3 linked regions of the Elephas maximus indicus genome follow. The protein of the gene in region 1 interacts with the protein of each later gene in a pairwise test. Links are inferred from orthologs where the notes say so. Each region holds a gene or a part of one and is shown in the gene's direction. Other genes may lie near its edges. The genes, in order: NECAB2, KANSL1 and SSC5D.

Region 1 (4,892 bases):
TTGCAGCACATTTGCCCAATGCAATATGTCATTTGATTTCTTGACTGCTGCTTCCATGGGCCCCAAGTGTGTGTGTGGTGGGGGGCAATTGTCAGGTGCAAGCAGGTGAGGGGGCAGCATGTTAGAAGATTTGGGGGAGGGTGTGTTCCAGGACTGATGTGCTGTGGAGGTCTTTGCAGCCCCTGCCTACATTCCCTGCCCCTCTCCCCGTCACACTGTCCTCTCAGTTCCTCCTGCCTACCATGCCCAAGCCTGCCACAGGGCCTTTGCACAGGCTGGTCTCTAGCCCATGACTTTTTCCTCCTCTCTTTAACTCCTTCTCTTCCTTTGAGTCACTTGGCATGAGGGTCACTTCCTCTAGGAAGCCTCTGCTGACACAAACCCCTGTTGGTGGTTCTCGTGGCCCATGGCACCACCACTTCAGAGCATCTCAGTTTCAGTTGTTCATTTATTCGTGGAATCATTCCAGTGTATGGCTCTGCACCAGGGGGGTGTTGTGCCCCGGGGTTGGATCCTGGTGCCTAGCACGAGACCTAGCACCTGGCAGGTATTTCTTTTTCTTTTTAAAAATTTTTATTGTGCTTCAAGTGAAAGTTTACAAATCAACTCAGTCTCTCATACAAAAATATATATACACCTTGCTATGTAGTGCTCTCCCCCTAATGAGACAGCACACTCCTCTCCACTCTGTATTTCCTGTGTCCATTGAGCTGACTCCTGTTCCCCTCTGCCTTCTCACCTTCCTTCCAGACAGGAGCTGCCCACATAGTCTCATGTGTCTCCTTGAGCCAAGAAGCTCACTCCTCACCAGGATCATTTTCTGTCTTACAGTCCAGTCCAATCCCTGTCTGAAGAGTTGGTTTTGGGAATGGTTCCTATCTTGGGCTAATGGAAGGTCTGGGGACCGTGACGTCCGGGTTCCCTCTAGTCTCAGTCAGACCGTTAAGTCTGGTCTTTTTGCGAGAATTTGAGGTCTGCATCCCACTGTTCTCCTGCTCCCTCAGGGAGTCTCTGCTGTGTGGCAGGTGTTTCTTAATGAATCCTTTGAGTGGGTGGATGAGTGGGAGTGGGAGAGGAGGAAGGTGTCCTGGGGCGTAGATTGGTTCTGGGCCTGTGTAATGGCAGAGGGAGGTCTGGGGGGCGTGCAATCCCTTGGAGGGCAAGGGTGGGTGCCAGGGAAGTGATGGGGCGGGGGAGGCCTGAGGCGTGTGAACGCTGAACCTAGAGCCGGCACCAGCAGAGGGCGCTGCGGGCTCGCCGGACACAGCGCTCCGGCCCCTGCGGCGGCGCCACGGGGGGAGGAGGGGCTCATGGGAAGGGGGCTCCGGAGGGGGGGCAGCCCCCAGGGACCCCCTTCCAGCAGCCAGACACCCCCGCGCCTCCTCCGCTGCAGCCCCCTCCCCGGCCTGCCGGGGTCCAGCCAACCGGCCCGCGCCCCCAGGCAGCCCCCGCCGCAGCGCCCGGCGGGGTGGGGGTGGTGGACCTGGCACGTGGCGCGGGGTCCGGGCCCCCCCGTCCCCGCCCGGCTGTCCCGAGTGTCCGCGGCCGCGGACCGAGAAGGGAGGCGGGGCCCGGCGGCGGGCGGCGCCGGGAGGGTCGCGCGGGCGGCGGGCGGGGGTCGGCGGGCTCCGGTGGCGGAGCGATGTGCGAGCGGGCGGCGCGCCTGTGCAGGGCCGGCGCGCACAGGCTGCTCCGGGAGCCGCCGCCGCAGGGCCGGGCGCTGGGCGGGCTGCTGCGCTGGGTGGGCGCCAGGATGGGCGAGCCTCGGGCGCCGCTGGCCCCCGACGCTCCCACCACCCCCGACGCCGACCCCCGGCCCGGCCCCGCCGCGCTGCGCGGGGGCACCGCCGTCATCCTGGACGTGAGTACGCGCGCCCCGACCCGCCGGAGCCCCTGCGGGTCCCGGCTGGACCTCGCGTCCCTCTCGGAGGGGACCCAGACAAGGACCTCCGTTCCTGCTGGGACCCCGCGCCCCCTCCTCTCTAGGGGGACCCCGACACGGAACCCTTTTCCTGCCTGGACCCCCGTGGCCCTCCTCTCGGGGGACCCCGAAACGAAACTCGGTTCCTGCCGGGACCCTGTATCCCTCCTCTCTGGGGGAACTCCGTTCCTGCGAGGACCCCGCGTCCCTTCTCTCGAGGGAGGAGAGCCGACACGGACTCCCGGTTCCTGCCGGACCTAGAGCCCCCCTTCTTGGGGGAGACGCCCTGCCTGCTGGGACTCTGCGCCTCGTTCTCTCAGGAAAGGGACCTCAACACGGAGCCCCTTGTTCCCCGAGACCCCTCCTCTCGAGGAATGGCCCCTGACACGGACCCCCTGTTCCCGCCAGGACTCAGAGCCCCCTCTTCTCTGAGCAGGGAACTCGTATCCATTCCCCTCGGCAAACCGAGGCAGGACCCTCACGCGGCCTCTCCGCTCCCCACAGCGTGAACCCCCCAGCCTCCCCATGTCCCTGACTGGTCTGCACCCCGAGTCCTCTCATCTCCCTGGACAGGAGTCCCCTTCACCCTGTGTCCGCTCCTACCTGGAGCGGGGTTTCCTCCTTGCCCCCTCCCTCCACTTCTCCGCTTCCCCACCTTCGCAGAGCTGGGGCCCTTGAACCTCCCTCCCGGACCTGGCCACCTCACTAATTTTGTCCTAGGCAATCCCCGATCCTTTTCCCAGACCTACACTCCACCTTTTACCCTGTCGCTTCCCGGAAAGGAGCCCCGGCCACCCCCAACCCGTCTCCTTTCTATCCCAGTAGCTACTTTTCTGAGACCCCCACAACCCCCAGCTTGGCCCCTCTTTCTTCCCGACGCAGGGCCCCCCAGCCCAGTTGTGTCATTCCTAATCAAAGACCCTTTTCCCCAACACAACCCCCTTGAAAGTGAAGCCCCTCCCCACCTAGCCTCTCTTTTCCGTTGATGCAGAACCACTTCCACCCGAGCCTGGACCCCTCCAGGGCTTCCATTCCCCGACCAGCCACTCTACTCCAAGCACCCAGCTGCCCTCCATTCCTGTCTCCACTCGTGCCCTTCCCTCACGTACCCTTCCCTCACGAGAGCCCTGTGCACTTCAGGAACCCCAGACTCATTCCTCACTCCCTCTCCCATGCAGTCTGGGAACCCATCCCCCTTGCCCCCATGGGGGAGGGAGGATTCCTCAGGATGGATGCCTGCTGGTGGGGAGCTTCCCCCTGTGGAGCATCTTGGAGGAATGGAGGGGCTTCATCAGAGGTCTCCCCCACCTCCAGTGACAGCATGGGGATGCCAACTTGTGTGTCCCAGTGAGGGCCCTGTGAGGTGCGTGGCTGGTGGGGGGTGGGGGTACCTCTGAGTGTATGAAGAGGTGGGTTGTGTTTCTGGGAGTGTGTGTGTGCGTGCACCCCTTTTTCTTCCCTCTGTCTCTCCTGGAACCTGTAGCCAGGTCTGGGCGAGGAGGGCTGGGCAGGGAAGGGACAGCAGGACTGTGAGTGCTTCTGTCTCTGGTGCCCCAAGCATACACTCAAACAGCCAGACACACACACACTCCAACAGCTGGAGCTTCTTTTCCCAGACCCCCAGAGCCGCTGGGCTTTGTCTATACTCCTCCTGATTCCAGTTCTCTGATGGTGATGATGGTGGGCTCTGAGCCTCCTCCGTTTGCTCATTTGAGAAATGGGGTGACTGAGCGGGCCTTCCCAGAGTGCCCTTGCAGACTCCCGGAGCTGACATCACTGGCTGTCACTCACTTGACGAGTCATGCCCAGAGCAGGTGCCTGCCCAGTGCCAGGCTCCAGGGGAGGCCTGGGACCCCCATCCTTGGGGGCTCGCACTGTTGGGAGGAAGGGTGTGAGGTGCCTAGGCTGATTCTGGAGGAGGGTTTGGGGGCGTCTGATCCCCCTTCAGCCTCAGTCACTGTGATTCCTGCTGGTCCCCAGGTGTCAGGGTTCAGTAAGGGGAAGGGGCGACCAGCCCCCATGGGGCAGCAGGGCGCATGTAAGCCCCCCCTCCAGCTGCTTCTTCAGCCTGGTACAGCCCCTGTGATGATAAAGGACAGTGCTCCAGGGATGGAGGGTGGCAGGGCCAGCTGGCTGGTGCCCCAGGGCAAGGAGGGAGGTGGGACAGCCAGAGGCCCCAGCCTCCTCCCCGCCTCTCTTGAGCACCACTTACCTACCCAGTCTAACAAGCTGATTAAGCTCAGAGGAAACTGAGGCTCAGGGATCGGCAGCAACCTGCCTGAGGCCCCTATTTTTTTCCCAGATCTGGGAAGTTAGGGTCTGCCCCTTCCCTGCAGTCGCACTCAGACATTAGTGTGCAAATAAGATCCTGAGGATTTGGATAAAAAGTAGGTTTTGACTTAGTGGGGCCAGGTGGGCCTGAGACTCTGCATTTCTAACAGGCTTCCAGGGGTACCCAGTGCTGCGGGCCTGACTCATTTCCAGGTGGAGCAGGTCTCTAGCACACAGGTTTCAACAATGGCCACACCCAGGAAGCCTTAAAACTCAAGACACCTGGGTCCCACCAGCGAGGCAGGGCGGGGGTGCAGAGGCTTGCAAAGCCCACCAGGCGATGGTCGATGGTCGCGTGTGGGAGGGATGGGCATCCCTGGCCTTGGTGGATGGGGCCAGGGCTCTGCCTCGGTGCGGATGTCGCCGGAAAGGCCGATGAAAAAGAGATTCAGTCTTCCCCAGCCGAGCAGAGGCTTTTCTCACAGAAGCCCTCAGGTTTGGGAATTGGGCTGCTCCTTTTCCCTGCCTGGTGCAGCCAGAACAGCCTGCCCTGGTTTCTGAGCCCCTGGCACCTGTGCCACCTACTCCCCACGCAGAAAATCACTCGTCCGCCTCCCCCCCCCCAACCCCCACCCACCCACAGCCTATTCAGTTCAGACCAAATCCAACCTTCCTGAAGAAACAAGGCTCTGAGGGGTCT
Region 2 (4,892 bases), on another chromosome or scaffold:
TGAATAGATGGAAAAATCTTCATTTTTACTAAAGTGAACAAATTTAGTATTTTCTTCAGTTGTGCATGTAGACAACAAACCATAGCAGTATTAGCACTACCTGTGATCTTGTCACCAAAATAAATCACAGATATTTTCATATTGTATTATAGTTGTTGCAGATATCTTGAAATATTATTTATGCTCATTTAAAAACCAAAAAAAACAAAAAACAAACAAAAAAAAACCACTGCCATTGAGCCGATTCCGGCTCATAGCAGCCCTATAGGACAGAGTAGAACTGCCTCATGGAGTTTCCAAGGAGTGCCTGGTGGATTCGAACTGCTGACCTTTTGGTTAGCAGCCGTAGCTCTTAAACACTACACCAGCTCAAAATTATCATGGTCATTAGATCTGCCATTAGCTTTTATTATTTAATATATTGATAAAAAGTATGTATTACTATATCACACTTTAAAAATATTTTGATAACTATATTTCAATATTTGGTGTCTCATGAATTCTTATGTATATTTTTTATGCACTTAAAAACATTGTTCTGAGACCAAAGGGTCCATATGTTTCACCAGATTGCCAAGGGGGTCCATGGCATAAAAAAGTTAAGAACCCCTGCTTTATGGGTATTTTTTTTGGCTTTCATTCTTACTGTCACAGGGTTACCAAAGCCTGAAGAGGATCACTGAAGAGAGCTTCAAGATCTGTGAGCTTCTCATAGATTTTATTATCCTGTTTTTCCAGAGGCCCTTTCTCCCTTAACTTTCACAACTCTTCCATATTCTGTTTCTCTTACCTCACTGACCCTCTGTTTCTTTTCCAAATGTCTGACTTTAACTGTTGGGTATCTTTTTATACTTTGGTGAGTTTATCCATCAGCATGTCATTGACCACTATATTTAGGCAGAGAACCCTAAATCTCTAGTTCAGATTGCTCACCCTTTTGTAAATTCCTTAACTCCAAGTGCCTCTGGACACCTCCACTTGGTTTTACTGCTTCTATCTGGAACCGAACATATTAATAACTAAGTTCCTCCCCAAATCTGTATCTTGTCCCAATTTTCCTGAACAACCACCTTGCCTGTTCCCCTGATTTTGCGATCATAGAATTATTTAAAAATTTAAATCAGTTTTTTAAAATTGGTAATCTTTGTGAATAGCACAAAAATCAGGATATGCAGTGAAAAATATAAGTCTTTCTCCCACCTGGTTCCGCAGGCACTCAGTTCCCCTCCTAGAAGGTAACCACTGTTACCAGATCTTAGAGTGATTTTGGATTCCTTTTTATAGGGGCTATATCTCAAGTCCTCTGTCTCAGAGATGTGTGCCCTTTTCTCTCCAGGCCCTCATGACCTTATATTTTGTTAACTATACATATGTATATAAATATTTATATGTGTATATGCAGTGGGTTTATATGTTTATATACATGTATAAAATCTCTCCCTGTGGCTTTCCGGCCTCGAGTTTTCATCACGTCGCTTCCTGGATGAAAAATCTACCGGGGTGGGGGGCAGGGGCTGGGGGTGATGGAGAAGAGGACAGAGAGGGGACTTAGGTAGGGGGTCAGAGTGGCAGACGGTTGGGAAGCTCGACAGGGATTCCCTTAGCCTATTCTTCCCACCTCAGGCCCCTTTCCAGTCCCCTAGTCCAAAAGCCTCCAGTTTCCAAGAGCTGAGGCAGAGACAGAGACAGAGAGATATACAGAGACAGAGACGCCGAGGCACCAGCATCCCTCTCCCCCTTCCGTCCAGCCCCGCCGCTCTGACGGACACCCGCCATCAGCCAATGGCGCCCACGATGTGTCCCGGAAGGGCCAATGAGAGACGGAGGAGGGCGAAAGATTCCCCGCCCCCACTTCTAGGCTTGGTTGAGCCGTGCAGGTAGGTCCGGGGCTGGGGGAGCTGCCGTTGGCACTGGTGCCCAGGGGGGTGGGGGCACGAGTGGGTAGGGGTGATGGTGGGGAAGGGGAGGCGGCCCCGACGGGGAGAGCCCGAGGGGGCGGCCCGGCCAGGAGGCGGGGAGCCGAAGGGCCCTGGGAGCGGGCGCCGCCGAGGGCCCTGGAAGCGGCTGGGCTGGGGGAGTGGGGACGCGTGTGTGGGGCACACGGACCCCCGCCCTGCGCCCACCCTCAGGACTGGGCCGCGGGTCGCTGGCCGAGTGGCAGGGGAGCCTGGCTGACCGGGGGGCAGGCCGGAGCCGGGGGCAGGGGCGCCGAGCTGAGCCCAGGGCGCCAGGCCGAGCCGAGGTGGGACGGACCGACGCGGAGAGGAAGGGAAGCTGCATCCCGCGGGCCGCCCCTCCAGAAGCGAGCTGGGGAAACGGCCGGCCGCCGGTTCCCCCACCTTGAGCTCACTCCTCCCTATTCCCCCACCCCAACAATGGGTATGGGGCAGGAGGAGTCGCCCCACTGCGGGGAGGTGGGGGGGGGATTCGGTTTGGGACAAGGGTCCAAGTTGGGGGGAGGGGTGGGAACTCGGGCTCTCCCTTTTCTTTCCCCTCCTGGCTTCGAATGTGGGGATCTTGGAGGGGCGTATTAAACATACCTGAGACTTGGGGCAAGAGTCAAACTGCAGGCCCCCCCCCCCCCGCCAAAAAAAAAAATCCGATGAGCGGTGAGGAAAGTGATGCCATTTCTTCAAAGCCAGAGTGACAAACACGTACCAAGAACAAATCCACTCCAGAGGTTTTTATTTTATTTTTTATTAAAAAACGGGGATACTTTCGTCTTAGATTTTTCGAAATATATTTTAAAGAGGTGGGTGCTGTCATTTTTGTCCCTACTCGGGCCAGCCTCCATTTTAAGCTAAGCAGTAACTGGTTAAGCTGGAATTACATTCAGGCCTAGGACTTAAACAAGGATCCTACAAGAGGTCATTTAGTCCATCCTCCTGCCGCCAGGCAAAATTGTCTCCCTCCCATCATCAAAATTAAGTTGTTTGGTAGATTTTTAAAGATCTCTGGGGAAGAGGAGTCTTTTCCTTGATTGTAGTATTTTAGTCAAGAGATTTTATTTTTCAGTAGAATCAGCTCTGAAACTTAATTTAAGCCTAATAAAACTCAGAGAGGTTTTAATTTACAAAATAAAATTTAAGTGTGGTAAGGGGCTTGTAAACAACAACAACAACAACAAAAAACACAAATTATCTTTCAGTAGTGTTTATGAAGTGCCCGGGATAATCATTTTTCTCTCTGGGATTTTGGTTTTCTAATTCTTGATAAACAACAACAACAAAATGTTTTACTTATTTTATCTAGGATATGTGTATATGTACAGATAGATACATAAACCTACACATTTGCCCTTTCCAAAAGGAGACTGACTGTTTTGTACATCTTTTAGGATGGTGACGCAAGTAGTACTTCAAATCTCTGTCCTGGTAGCTTAAACTATTTGCTTATTGATTTATTTTTTTTAGTCTAAATGTAAGTTCTCTCTTTCAGATAACTTCTTGAAACAAAAAATTTTCCTACCTGCTCATACTTGGTGACTTCAAGGGAATTACTAAGACTCCCTTCTTGCTCATTTCTGAGTATTGTCTGAACTATTCCTGACACTATGAATGCTATTTGGATGCCTCTTAAGGTAAGACATGTTATTTTTTTCATTAATGGCCTCATTTATTTTCTTTAGAATTGAGAACATTTTACTTCTTGAATTTGTTATTCAGCTCTTTACCTGGCACTCCTCTCCCCTCAAAAATTATTGTGTTTGCCTTCTAGGAACTGATTGGTCACTCCCTTTGTATTGCTACTGGTCTTGATTACTGGTGTTAAAATGTTGATGAAGTCCTCAGATTAACTTCCATTATAATGGTTTGTTCAATATTTTAGTTTTAATTATGACAACCCACATAGTTGTAAAATTCTGTTCCATTCCCAGCAGGATGAGCTGGCAATTCAGACATCGAGGTCCACTCTCAAACAGGTGCTTGAGAGTCATAGGTACTAGGGTGTGTCCCACTCTTGCAAATCAGCTGATTCATGTATTGCAAAAGGTGTTTCATTAACCATTGGTTTATTCTGAAACTTTATATAGTATATTAGAACATTCTAAGACTTGCTGGTCTACGTGGACAGCTCTTTTGGAGTGTACGCCTTCTGCTCCCTAGCTTTCTGCATGAAATTTTATGCTGTTTTTCTCAACAGGTAGCATTTTGTGTCAAGTTTCATCTCATGGGGTAAATGCTATTTGGACAGTGTGGGCAGAATGGTCTTCAGGTGAAAACACTCGTTGGTGTGGTTGTTCTCCACTGTCCCTTGCCTCTTTCCCACCCTTTGTGTATAGATGGCTAAAGTATTGTCCATTAAGGCTAAGCAGAGGGCAAAGCCTAAGACGTGGGGAGGAAGGACAGAGAAAAAGATAAGGAGTGATGGAGGTCCTCCACCAGTGTCCCCAGATGGCACAGGTTGCCTTCCCTGGAGCTTGATGCTAGTATAGTTAAGATCATTGTATAGTAATCTGCCTGTGGAATTCCAGGTTGATGCAGTAGGTAAATCACAGTATAAGGCAGTGTCTGTACCCTAAATATTTGGACTTGTGGAAAATCTTTAGGTAATGTAGACTGAGTGCTCATTTTCATTTATGTTCCAGCTGCTATTGGTGGATAATGAGTGCCTGTATTAGTATGAAAAAAGCCAAAGTGGCATAGTTTTTCCAGCCATTCTCTCTGTAGAGTTGGAGGGTTTGCATGGGGAGCCCAGCCAGAAGTCCTGAACCATAGTAATTGCAGGATCTTATTGTACAAGAATGTTTGTTTCTCTTCGGTACCACGTGTTTAGTGCCAGTACCTGGCATCCTCTGTGCTCTTTGGGAAGCAGACGGAAATATCAATGGCTACTAGTTCCCTAGAAACTTAAGGAAATTGGTATCAATATATATATTGAATTTCATTTTA
Region 3 (4,892 bases), on another chromosome or scaffold:
GTACCAGGCTGAGGGGGGCTGGGGCTGCATGGGCTACATGCTAGTGCGGGAGTTCAGCAAAGAACTGTGACTCACCTGCCCAAGGAGAGCTGGGTCTGGGTGGGAAACCAGCATTTAGTGAGCATCTACTGTGTGCCAGGAAGGTTCACTCCACTCTGTCCACTGCCCAATGTGGGTAGTGTTTGGACTTTGGTAGTGTGTGAACTTCTGAGAGTGGAATCCCTCCTTTCCACTCTTGGCTCTCTCTTGGGAGCCAACAAAGCTCAGCCTGTCCAACCCTCTGCCTCAGATCCAGCCTGCACTGAGAAATCTCCCCCCCTCCCATCTGTGCTACAGGCCTGGAAGAGAGATTGGGAGGGGAGAATGAGCAAGTATGCCCCCTAAGAGTGAGGCTTAGCAGCAGGGGCATGCTTCAATGGGGGTTTCCTGAGCATGCGTTGGGGTTTGAGGCCTGTGATTGGAGGGGACAGGGCTGCAGAGTGGGTGGGGAAGGTTGGTGGGGTTGAGCAGAGCCTTTGCAGGGAAGGGCTGTCTGCATCTCGGGGAGCCTGGTGGGGACTGGGGTGGTGGGGGGAGGTGCAGGGCTGCCAGGGCTGGACTGTCTGGGAAGCTGAGAACTGAGAGCAGTGGGCGGGCAGCATCCCCTCCAGCCTTCCCTTCAGACCCATCTGGTTTTTTACACTCATTTGTTAATAAAGCCCAAAACTGCTGTGTGCCCTACTCTGTCTCTGATGCCTTTTCCAGTCTGTCTTCAGAGCCCCCCTTCTGTCTGGCTCCTCCTTCCCCAAGTCGACATGAATTGTTGGTTGGGGGGGAGGGTGGAGGCTGCACCGGGAGAAGGGGAGGCAATGAGCTCACAGCGGCTCAGTCCCTGCCAGCCCTTCTGACTCACGAGCCCCATTACCGAATTTTTTCCACCTCACAGCTGCCTGGTGCAGAGAAAGAGAGAGAGCGTATATGTGTGTGAGTGTGTGGAGTTCTCACTCCCCCCACCCAAACCTTGGCCAAAACTGAGGTCTCCCCATACCCCTCCACTTCCCATTTCTTACTCATTAGAGTCATCTATATGCAACCAACCCTCCCCACAGATGCAGGAATAGGGATTTTGCATTCAAACCTACCAGGAGTAGGGGCCAGGGAGGAGGGAACTTGCTCAGTCTCCTTTCCTAATCTAGGAAGTCCTTCCTGGTGTCTGGCTGCAAGCCTGCTAGCTGCACCCAGCCCCAGATGTACCTGGCTCAACCTCCATCCCCTCCACTGTGGTCTGACCATCTTCCCAGGCTGGACAAGAGAGGAGGCAGGAGGGGGCTCCCCATCTCTGCCAGGCCCCTACATCCACCTCCATGCTGGCCCTGCCTGCAGCCTGCCACCCCAGGTCTCTAAGCCCAGGTCATTACTGGTTTAAAGCCTGGTTGGTTCCCGTGTGGGTGTTTGCAGCTTGGACACCCTCCCTCCCTCCCGCCCGCCCGCCCGCCAGCCCGCCAGCCACCCCCCTTCTCTCCACACCCCAGCCGCTGGCCAGCTCCCTCCCTGCCCCCCGCTGTCCCCTGCCGCCTCCTCGCAGCCTCTCTCTTCCTTCTGGAAGAGCGTCCAGCCCCTGCCTGCTCCTCCCTGGGTCCAGGGCGCCTCCAAGGCACTTCCCTCCTGTGGCTGCCTCCTCCTCCTTCCCCCCCTTCCCCTTTCACCCTGTCCCTGCCCCGGCCTCTGCAAACATGAGGGTCCTGGCCTGCCTCCTCGGTGAGTGACCCGTCCTCCTAAGGGACTCAGGGGTCCTGCGTCCTTGCCCTCTGACCCCTTCATCATCAAGTTCAGGGACTCAGACTTCCAGGACCCCAGTCCCTTGAGGATCCATCCTTCTTCGGGATGCCCAGTCTCTCCCTCCTGGGGACCCAAGGGACCTGGCCCCTCCCCTTGGCCCTGACCCTGGGGTGGGGACCACTCAGCCATGTGACCTTCAGCCAACCCCCTAGGGGAACACAAAGGACCTGGTCTCTAGCCCTGATTTCAGGCGCCAGGACCTGACTCTGATTCCAGCCCTCTGCAGTGGGGTTCCAGGTCTGAGATATGAGGACTCCGAGCGCACGCGCGTGCGGGTGTGCGCGTGTGCTTGTGTGTGTGTGTGTGTGTGTATACACGTGCGCACGCGTATTGGGATATTCCCAACAAAGGTCCCGCTATGCAGAAAGGACCCCTCTTGGGTGGGGCCTGCCCCTCACTCTTTCCCACCCGTCAAACCCCTTGCAGCCGCTCTAATGGGGATCCAGGCTGTTGGTAAGTCCCCAAACTCTTCTGCCATCTAGTCTTGCCGAGCTTCCAGCCTGCCCTATCGGCTTCACTTCATCCTCCACCAAAGCCCTGGCCACCCCCATCTCCACGTGACCTCTTGACTGGCCCTCCGGGGAACCACTCCCCCTGGGGACCCAGGTGTCCAACCTCTTCCCACCTCTCTCCTGAGTGCCCAGTTGTCTGGGTCCCCCAGTGACCAGCTGGCTTCCCAATTGTCCCCTGCATCCCCTACCCTCATCCTGCCCCAGGGCCTTGGGAGTGTCTCTCCCCGGGGTCAGAGCCTCCCCTCCGTCCCCAGAGCGGCTGCACCTGGCTGACGGCCCCCATGAGTGCGCTGGCCGGCTGGAGGTGTGGCATGCAGGGCGCTGGGGGACAGTGTGTGACGACGGCTGGGACCTGCGGGACGCTGCTGTGGCCTGCCGGGAGCTGGGCTGCGGGGGTGCGCTGGCTGCCCCTGGAGGTGCCTTCTTTGGGGAGGGCGCCGGGCCAGTGTGGCTCAGTGAGCTGGCCTGCCGGGGCAGCGAGGGGCGGCTGGGCTTGTGCCCCCACCGTGGCTGGAAGGCCCACATCTGCTCTCATGAGGAGGACGCAGGCGTTGTCTGTGCAGGTGAGGAGGGCTCCTTGGCTCTAAATGTCATCTGCCAGGTGAGGAGTCCCTGGCCCAGGGGTTATCTGCCAGGTGATGAGTACCTGGCCCCAGCTGACTTCTGCCAAGTGAAGGGTCCCTGGCCCAGGTGTCATCTGCAGGTGAGGGGTCCCTGGGCCCAGGTGTCATCTGTGCAGGTGAGGGGTCCCTGGGCCCAGGTGTCATCGGTGCATGTGAGGGGTCCCTGGCTCAGGGGTCATCTGTGCAGGTGAGGGGTCCCTGGTCCTTGTTTGGGGCAGCCTGTTCTCCAGCTCCTTCAGAGATGACCCAGGGACCCAAGTCCTCAGCCCCAGTAACTGAGGGTCCAGGAGTCCAGATCTCCAATCTCTAATCCCCTCAAAAGCCACTATCTCCCTCAGGGACCCCCACTTTACAAGTGGTAGCTTTGGAGCCCTGGAGGACAAGGTAATGGGCATCCCAGCCCCTGCTGCTCTCTCAGGGACGCTGTGCCCTCTTTACTGTCCCCTCCCCCTCACAGTTTCTGTTCTCTCCATAGGCCAGCGTGTGGCAGCAAATTCCAGGGAATCGGCCCCTCTTGTGGGTGGGGATCTGTGGCTGGGGCTGTCCAGGGAGTTCAGTCCAGGGCCTGAGGTGCCCCCCACGACTTCTGGTGAGTCCCAGGGCTCACCAACTAGCCCCGCCCCATGCTCTCCTGGCCTCACTGTGGATGGTCTCCTCCCAGCTCTGGGAAGTCCTCCTTGTGCCCCAGCTATATTTGGAGGCTGAGAAGGTATAGCCCAGTCCCCCAGGTGGACAGAAGTTTGAGCTCCTGACCTCATGGCTGTCTTCTCCCTTAGTCCCCCGCCTGGTAGGAAGCTCCCAGAACAGTGGTGGCTCCCGGAAGAAGAGCCCCCGGCCACCCAAGCAGGCCAAGTCCACCAGGGCTCCTGTGCTGACCACCGGGGCTGCCCGCCAAGGTAAGTCCTTGCAGGTCCCCCAAACTGGATGCCCTAGGCCCAGCTTCCGACACCCCTTGGGGATTCAGGAGGCCCAGCCCTGTCTCTCCCTCTCCCCACCACCTGCCCATTCATTTAAGTGACCTAAGTGTCTGACTTTTGGCACCCAGGTACCACCCCCATTCCTGGCTCTCTCCTTAATGGGCAGGTCTCATGCAGGACCTGATTCTGTCACTGGACAAGCCACTGCCCTCTCTGGGCCTCAGTCTCCCCAGATAAGAAATGAGGGGGTTGAATGTGCTTATCCCAAACTGTGGTCAGACAAAACCCCCAGGTCCTTATTGTCCTCCTAGGCCCCTCACAGTCCTTCTGAGTCCCTCACTATCCCTCTAGACCCCTCCCTGCCCCCCAGGCCCCTCCCCGTTCCCACAGGCCCCACCCTGTCCCCCCAGGTCCCTCCCCATTCCTCCAGACCCCTCACCATCTCCCCAGACCCCTTTCTGTCCCCCCACACCCCTCCCTATCCCCCAGGCCCTTACCTGTCCCCTCAGACCCTTCATTGTCCCCCCAGGCTCCTCACTGCCTCCTCACTCCCTTCTCATCCCCTCAGGTCCCCTGCAGTCTCCCCTGTCCCTTACTGTCCCTTTCCCACCCACTCCTCCATCCCCTAGAACGGTTGCGGTTGCGGCTGGTCTCAGGTACCCACAGCTGTGTGGGCAGGCTGGAGGTGTGGCATGCGGGACGCTGGGGGACAGTGTGTGACGACGGCTGGGACCTGAGAGACGCTGCTGTGGCCTGCCGGGAGCTGGGCTGTGGGGGGGCGCTGGCTGCCCCTGGAGGTGCCCGATTTGGCCCAGGCTCGGGGCCCGTGTGGATGGACGATGTGGGGTGTGGAGGCGGAGAGCAGGCCCTCCGTGACTGTCCTCGCAGCCCCTGGGGTCGGAGCAACTGTGACCACAGCGAGGACGCAGGGCTGGTCTGCACTGGTATGTCAGGGTGGGGATCCTTGAGGACACCCCCAGTCCCCAACCCTCTTTCCCTCTCCAGGAGGCTGCAAAGGTTTG

What was found.
Region 2: the proteins of NECAB2 (region 1) and KANSL1 interact in binary tests that used the Homo sapiens proteins (3 or more experiments, as listed by UniProt). The two-hybrid records come from large-scale screens. The link is inferred for Elephas maximus indicus from reciprocal best matches to the Homo sapiens genes NECAB2 and KANSL1.
Region 3: the proteins of NECAB2 (region 1) and SSC5D interact in binary tests that used the Homo sapiens proteins (3 or more experiments, as listed by UniProt). The two-hybrid records come from large-scale screens. The link is inferred for Elephas maximus indicus from reciprocal best matches to the Homo sapiens genes NECAB2 and SSC5D.

The regions. Positions count from the first base shown.
Region 1 is NC_064839.1:49,959,561-49,964,452, forward strand, and holds the start of NECAB2 (N-terminal EF-hand calcium-binding protein 2), read left to right. Parts: upstream 1-1,642; coding exon 1,643-1,861; intron 1,862-4,892. UniProt on the Homo sapiens protein: May act as a signaling scaffold protein that senses intracellular calcium.
Region 2 is NC_064837.1:52,968,058-52,972,949, reverse strand, and holds the start of KANSL1 (KAT8 regulatory NSL complex subunit 1), read left to right. Parts: upstream 1-1,847; 5' UTR 1,848-1,877; intron 1,878-3,438; 5' UTR 3,439-3,580; intron 3,581-4,892. UniProt on the Homo sapiens protein: Non-catalytic component of the NSL histone acetyltransferase complex, a multiprotein complex that mediates histone H4 acetylation at 'Lys-5'- and 'Lys-8' (H4K5ac and H4K8ac) at transcription start sites and promotes transcription initiation.
Region 3 is NC_064829.1:91,527,467-91,532,358, reverse strand, and holds the start of SSC5D (soluble scavenger receptor cysteine-rich domain-containing protein SSC5D), read left to right. Parts: upstream 1-1,596; 5' UTR 1,597-1,712; coding exon 1,713-1,737; intron 1,738-2,244; coding exon 2,245-2,271; intron 2,272-2,584; coding exon 2,585-2,893; intron 2,894-3,428; coding exon 3,429-3,542; intron 3,543-3,729; coding exon 3,730-3,849; intron 3,850-4,499; coding exon 4,500-4,814; intron 4,815-4,892. Other genes in the region: NAT14 (probable N-acetyltransferase 14), read left to right, coding at 1-70.